Danio rerio: one gene and its partner. The protein of the gene in region 1 purifies or fractionates together with the protein of each later gene. This does not show direct contact. Links are inferred from orthologs where the notes say so. Each region holds a gene or a part of one and is shown on either strand. Other genes may lie near its edges. The genes, in order: zc3h4 and wdr82.

Region 1 (4,567 bases):
AAACACTACAAGTGAAGAGAGTAAGAGAGATGTCTTTATGAACACTGCTGCCAATCTACAGATGCAACATTGTAATTTAGTTGTGTTGAGAATCACACTAGGGGTGTCAAATGTTCAGTGCTCATTTGTGCATTGCTCAAAGCAACTCTGAGTCACTACAGAGCCACCCTGTTTATAGAAGATCTAACATATAGGTTGTATAGTAAGCAATTATAAGGTTTAGACAGGACTACACTTCAAAACAAAGATAAGGAGCAGTCACATAAGACAGAGAAACATTGCTGCACTTTACAGTGCGCATTGACAAAACATTATCAATTAACCCCTAAACTTTACTCCTGAAAAAGGAAACTTCAGGAAAAGGATTTGCTAAAACATGAACCTAAATGCAAAGCCATGGATGAGATATGATTCAAGATACACAAGTTTCCACAAGTATCAACCAACTGACACATTTACATATTTATATTGTAGTATATTTTAAGTAACTTTAGCTAGTTTAAAAAAAGCTTTATGCTATTAGTAATAACAATAAAAAATTAGTCAATTTGCCAAACTTTAAAGACAAAACTTTTACATTTAACTAATAATATAAAAAACTCAAAATCATTATAAAAATACAAACTTCCTCATCAGTGGACTGTAAGAACCATATCTTCCATGGCTAAACTCAAGTTATCTGTTCTTCTGAACAGGTAATGTTTTTAAAACAGTACAGAAAGAATCAATTGGTAAATGGTCACTAATGATTAACTACAAATCCATTCATCTCTATGTCAACAAAAATATTTCATGGGTATTATTAGCATGTTGTGAAACAAAATATAGTTACATAACATAGTGGGCTCTCAGTAAATAAGGAGACCACCTTTTTTAAAAACCTCATTTGATTCTGTAATTTTTCATTCTAATGTTTTTGAATACAATGACAAAACAATAGGTTCAAACAAAATTATAAATGGGGCTCCCTCGCATTATTTACTTGTCAAACACACTTTGAAATAAATAACATCTGACAAAAGCAAAAAAAAAAAGTATGTATACAATGTAACAAAAATGGATCTAGCCATAAGGTGTTGCAAGAAATTCTTGGCAAATTTACAACTAACTTAAAAAATAATAATCATTCAAAGTATGTTCACTGTATGTATGCAAGTAATAAAAGACAATTGCATGCAAAGATATATAAAATAACTTGGCCTGTACATTTCTGGCAATACTTACTGTGAAATACTTATGTATGCATAAGGGAGGTGAAAGGTTGCAGTTTGGGCAAAATGGTTAACCACTTTTGTGTTCTGATAAGACCTTGAATGCTTCTGAGACATTGAACAGCACTGGACCATGAAGGGATGCATGTGTACATTAAGCTAACTAAATTACAATAAAAGAAGTGTATGAAAAACAGGGACACCTGTTGTGGCATATTTACTAGATTAATAACAATTTAACATTTATTTCTACTGTCAACAAATTAATTCATGTGGAGGACTAAAAGTAACGGCATTTAACCAAATTAAAGCCCATGAAGCTTAAATGTAAAGAAACCTAAAACATTTTTATAATCCGAATCAACAGGCATATGTCGTGCTACTAATAAGACATAAATATAAAATAAATATTTAAAATAAATAAAATCATATACTACATTAATTTTAATGTACCTGTATGTTTTAACAACTTATTTTAAAAAACAAAAGCGGATGAGTTATGATTACATAGCTCCTATTAACGTTAAAACACAAATGTAACGCTCAAGCAACCAAACCCTAAAGGAATAAAAATATTTAAGTTATTTTAGTGACGTCTCCAATAAATCTATGTGCGTAGCTCGTGACACTTAGCATAAGTGCTAAGCGCTAAAGGGAGACAAATTATCATCCCGAACTAAAATTTGCGTTATTACGTTAAGATAAACTAAATCGTATTGCATTCGATGACCAATTAAATAAGGAATAATTAATCAGACGCCAAGTTATAAACCGTGCTAATCCGTCGCTATTCATTAGCTTCCGTTAGCCGTGTTTTGTTGCTAAACTGTTGGCTAACTGTTAGCACTGCTAGCTTTAGCTCGGTCCAGGCCTCGCGATGGATAAACAAATTCCTTAATGCGTAAAAAGGGATCAGTTTTACCACATAACATACGGTTTGCGTTGTGGTAATAAGTCGGAGTTTAATTTTAGGTCTATAACAAAAAAAAATTAGCTTGTGATTTCTTTTGTCCATCTGTTCTTTATCTGTGATGAAAACACTGTTACAGGATCAATGTTTTGACGTAGGGGTGGCCCCATGGTCTTCGATCACTAAAAAAACATTAGAAAGTGACTGAAAATGTCAATTTGATCATATTCTGAATGTTTTCCTGATTCGCTTGTGACCTTCCAGATTGCGCTGTGTAACGTTTCAAGATGGCGTTTCGTTACCTCTGTACGTTTCCCAGAAAAGGCGACTTTAATCCCTTTGAAAGAAAAAAAGCAAATGCCCGTGCTTTTTGTTTTTGGAAAAAAGCAAAGGACAAATCAATAGTTGGATAGAAATATGATGATATTACTCGACCTTTCGTCAGTGAGAAGGCTGTTGTGTTCGTGGTTGGCTGTTGGGGAGTTTGGATGGACAGTCATGCTTTCCACAGCCATTTCCTCTAACGTACTACATTCAGTGCAAAAAATCAACTGTCTTATGCGTTACTTGACTTTGATCTACTTGTTGATTGGCATTAGGAAGAGATTCAGTTCATTGTAGTCAATTCCCCCCTAACAGTTTAAAAGAGAAACAGGTTGAAAACGTTCCTGAGGTTCTCCGTCCTACAGTTGCGATGTGAAATGAAACTCATTCTCTTAAAATGGCGACGCTTCTTCTCCGAAGAGAATGGGCGGACTTACGTGACGTCGACTGTCACGGAAATGACCGATCGGGTCATGAAAAAAAAACACTTTTTTTTTTACTCTAAGGGTAATGTAATAGTTAAAATAGTATATATTAACTGTAATCATGCACATAATATCTTAATATAAAACGTTATTTTTATCAGTATTTATTATTATTATCATCATCATTATTATTATCATTATTCATTGTATTATTACTGTTTTATCAAAAAAGGGGCCTTGCAGTTAAAATATATCAACATTGCATTATCTTTGGTATCATATGTTTCAATACCTATTCTGGACCTATATATATATATATATATATATATATATATATATATATATATATATATATATATATATATATATATATATATATATATATATATATATATATGTATATATATATGTATATATATATATATATATATATATATATATATATATATATATATATATATAATTGAATATAATAACTCTAAAGTATCAGTTTTATACAACTCAACTTTTTATTTGATTCTATTTTGCAAGCACAGATCTAGAAAACAATCATTTAATGCTATTAATAGTGATCTACACTCCAATAAATATAATTCTGTCACGTTTATGTTTGCTTAAAACCATTATTATTGTAAATTATACTATTACATTTTGTTTGAAATTAAAATCTTATTTTGCCAGTGATGGGTTGCAGCTGGAAGGTCATCCGCTGCGTAAAATATATGCTGGATAAGTTGGCGGTTCATTCTGCTGTGGCGACCCCAGATTAATAAAGGGACTAAGCTAAAAAGAAAATGAATGAATGAAAATCTTATAATGATTGTCAAATGATTTGTCAAATCCTTTGAGAATATTTTTAAAAATAAAGAAGACTCTATATTATTTATACTCTTTATTATTTAATGTCTCTTAAAATAAAAAGTACTAATTTTCTTTTTTCCATTTCTTTGCAAGTAGACTATTATAAAATAGTAAAATGCACCATTTTCACTCATATCTGGACAGAAATTTTAAGTTAAATTAACACCATGAACGGACCTTTGCTCATAAAATTATGCATTATTAAAAATTAAATTCATCATATGTACATGACATATTTTGGTGACACATTTAACGCTCGCTAGATGTATAAAGGATCCCTGATAAATGTCCATTGTCGAGCTCTGATTCTGGCACACATCTCCTGCGTCATCATTGCGCGCCTTTACGAGTTTCACTAAGCGGCACTTTTGTCCCATTGAATGGGCAATAGAAAAAATAGAGCGTAGAATAGTCCAACTAACCCGTAGTTAATTGATTACAGCTTATCATCAGAAATACAAATATTCCGAGATGATCGATACCATCGAAAAAGAAGACACTATTATTAGTGAGGAGGAAGCTGCACAATATGATCGCCAGATTCGCCTGTGGGGTCTCGATGCTCAAAAGAGGTTCGTGGATAAAGGTTTCGAGCAAAAAAACAAAACTTAATCATATTTTATGGATCTTGTTTTTAGATGATTGTTTGTGTGTGCAAAAAACATAAATTATAAGTTGGGTTAAATGTAATTAATTATTGTGATTAATCCATCTTTCACAGTCGTCTGAAATACAATGCGTGAAAACAATGTTCGTAACTTACTGGTTGTATATTGCCAACATAATAATGAATTAATGTTATGTACGTGTTTAGTACTTGTCAAATGTTTTAAATC
Region 2 (2,871 bases), on another chromosome or scaffold:
TTAGACATTACAGCTTGATTGAAAATAAAATATAGTTTCTCAAATGCAATTGACTGACACAGCTGGTTCTTTAATGCACACTTTTAGAAATAATTTTATTTGGGCAGAAAACTAATCGGTTTAACTTTCTTTGTGTGTATTCTCAGTTACAATCAAGAAATCTTAAAATTAAATGATGATAAATTTATGTTGAACACTGAAAGTCTGGGCAAGTGACAAGTTTTGTACATGAAATAAAAAGTTTCCAAGAAAGGATTATTTCAACTTTTAAATAAGAAAAGGTGTAATGTGTGAGGCTAACCTGAAAAAAAACCCTATTTGGATTAAAAAATAAAACAAATTACAGTGACAACAAAGCTACAACTCATATAAATAAAATGTGTTGTTTTGTTAGTGCAAAGTAAGTTACAAAACAAGATGACGCTTCAGAGAGGCTGGTCAGTGTATACTGATTATAAAATTTGTTTTTATAAGCAATTTACAATGCTGATATTACAAAGAAATGCAACAGAAACAGGTAAAATAATGGTATAAAAGCAGTTCCCCTCAGACACAATTATACTGGACTACACACAACAGCTAGAAGCATTACATGTCTGAAAGGCCTCAAAACCAAATCTTTGGAAAGTTGTATAAACATGTTTATTAAAAAAAAAAAAGTTCCATTGACATTTTTTTTTTAGATCGCACAAGATGCTAAATCTACAGGTGCTGACTTCTGGTATAGTTTGGAGAGCTAAGATCAATTCTGCTGGATGTTTTACATCACCTCAGTTTCATTGAGCACTGTTACAACCTCAAACAAAACAGAATGTGTGAACAGATCACTTAATGTTTTACAAAAACTTTTTAATCATACAAATATAAAATGAAAAAAAAATAATAATAATAATACAACTCGGCATCAAGCCAAATCTATTTACAGTCCAAAATTCCCACGGTGAACATCTTCATGTGTGCCAAGAGAAGGGTGAATGACGCCACCTGCTGGAAGAACATCACAGGCCGACTGATGACAGCTGCCCATCAATCATCAATGGTGGGTAACCAGAACGCCTGTGCAGGGGACATTTCAGAATATGTTTGTGATATACATCAGGAATAATGATGCATCTATATACACCTTAATAAAATGGGAATGGCTGGTGATATTAACGTCCTGTTTGTGGCACAATAGTATGTGAGGGGGCTTGTAAATAACTCATGAAAGAATAAAATTGTTAAAAGCAAGCACATCATTGTTTTTTTTGTGTGAAATTCCCAATAAGTTTATTAAGGTGTGTCCATTTAAATGGCCCACCCTGTATGTGTATATAAATATAAATATATATATATATGGCCGTCAATTAGTGACTACTGCAGTATTTACACAAAGAAAACGCAGAAGATTTTAAGGACAATTTGACAACCCTGTGTACTCTTTTTATATCACATTTTCCCCATTCCATTTCTCCAATAATTACCATAAAAAATTAGCAGTGAATGCTACTGACTAAAATACCTTATACTAAAAAGGCTGTTTTATACAGTTGTTTTATGTTCATCTCTTAAGTTCTTTTTTTTTAAGTCTGCATCACAAGTCACAAAAATAAACAATAATAATAAAAGTAATACTTTAAAATGAGGCTAATATTTTTCTGATCTATTTACACAAACAAAAAACACATATGCTTAAATAATTGTTTTGAGTTTAACATTCACAGACTACAGTCCATAGCAATTTCCTTTTCATTCATTTAAATTCTGTGAATCTTTTATAGTAAATTATACTATCGATTAGATTGCACCATTTGACATTTTATTATTTTCAGAAAGCATAGAGTACTAAACGAATGCAAAGTAAAAAAAATGCCACTGAGATGAACAGGAATACTAAGGCATATACTGATGGCTGAAGGTCTGGGAACTTTGGCAGATTTCAATGGTTAAAGAACCACCCATGATGCCATTTCAGACTGACAGCTTTACCAACCAATAACCATTCGTTTTGTGTTGTGTCTTATGTATGTGCGTGGAAGAGTCTACAGAATGCCTAGCCATATGCGTCATCCATTCAGGTCTTCAAACGTTTACAACAACGCATCAATATACTTAATGATCTGTCAGCAAAACATATAGGAAATCAGTAGGAGATGTATGTGGACGCAGACTGAGATAAACATTGCAGCAGTTTTTTTATCCAATCAGACTTGTTTCCAGGTGGACTGGTTAATATTGCTGTACACTAGACTCCCAGAAATCAGAGGACAACTGATGATCTGTTAAAGTGTTTCCAATTAAGTGTGCCATATGCATCAGACATTTAGCCACATGTCCGTGAGCAGTGTTTGGCATGACATCTAAGACTAACTAATTCATAACTACCTCCAAGTTTCTCCCAAAACAAGTTTTGAAAATGTGACAAATTGCACATATTCCATCTACATATACAGTAAGTTATGCCAAACATCAGATTTGTGTCTACCTTCGGTTAAGTCTTACCATGTTAGAACAGGCACTGGCAAAGGTCATGAATTTGGGGTTAAACTGTAGACATGTAACAGGACCAGTGTGTTTCCCATCCAGAAGCGCTACTTTCATCCCACTCTCAGCATTCCACACATGGATCTTCCCATCTTCTGATCCTGGAAATGTTGAGGAGACACGATCAATCTCTGTAAACTCATCTTAAGTCCTTTTGTAGTCCTGTGAGAAGCTTAAGTGAAGACTTACCGATCATAATGAACTGAGAGTCTGGTGTGAAAGAAGCCTCCAAAATGACACCTTTACTGTTGTTATAACCCTGCAGTAAGAAAGAGAAACACTCTTAAAAGTGCCTTATTATGCTTTTTTCTAATATAATCATAAATGCTTTGTAATAATTAGGCTATT

The links.
Region 2: the proteins of zc3h4 (region 1) and wdr82 purify together in Homo sapiens (affinity purification with western blotting; 4 studies listed by BioGRID and IntAct, with this or other methods). This does not show direct contact. The link is inferred for Danio rerio from reciprocal best matches to the Homo sapiens genes ZC3H4 and WDR82.

What each region holds. Positions count from the first base shown.
Region 1 is NC_133190.1:26,185,514-26,190,080, forward strand, and holds the start of zc3h4 (zinc finger CCCH domain-containing protein 4), read right to left. Parts: upstream 2,862-4,567; 5' UTR 2,637-2,861; coding exon 2,557-2,636; intron 1-2,556. Other genes in the region: sae1 (SUMO-activating enzyme subunit 1), read left to right, coding at 4,203-4,303. UniProt on the Homo sapiens protein: RNA-binding protein that suppresses transcription of long non-coding RNAs (lncRNAs). LncRNAs are defined as transcripts more than 200 nucleotides that are not translated into protein.
Region 2 is NC_133181.1:44,014,749-44,017,619, reverse strand, and holds the end of wdr82 (WD repeat-containing protein 82), read right to left. Parts: intron 2,783-2,871; coding exon 2,713-2,782; intron 2,625-2,712; coding exon 2,482-2,624; intron 1,057-2,481; coding exon 1,027-1,056; 3' UTR 829-1,026; downstream 1-828. UniProt on the Homo sapiens protein: Regulatory component of the SET1/COMPASS complex implicated in the tethering of this complex to transcriptional start sites of active genes.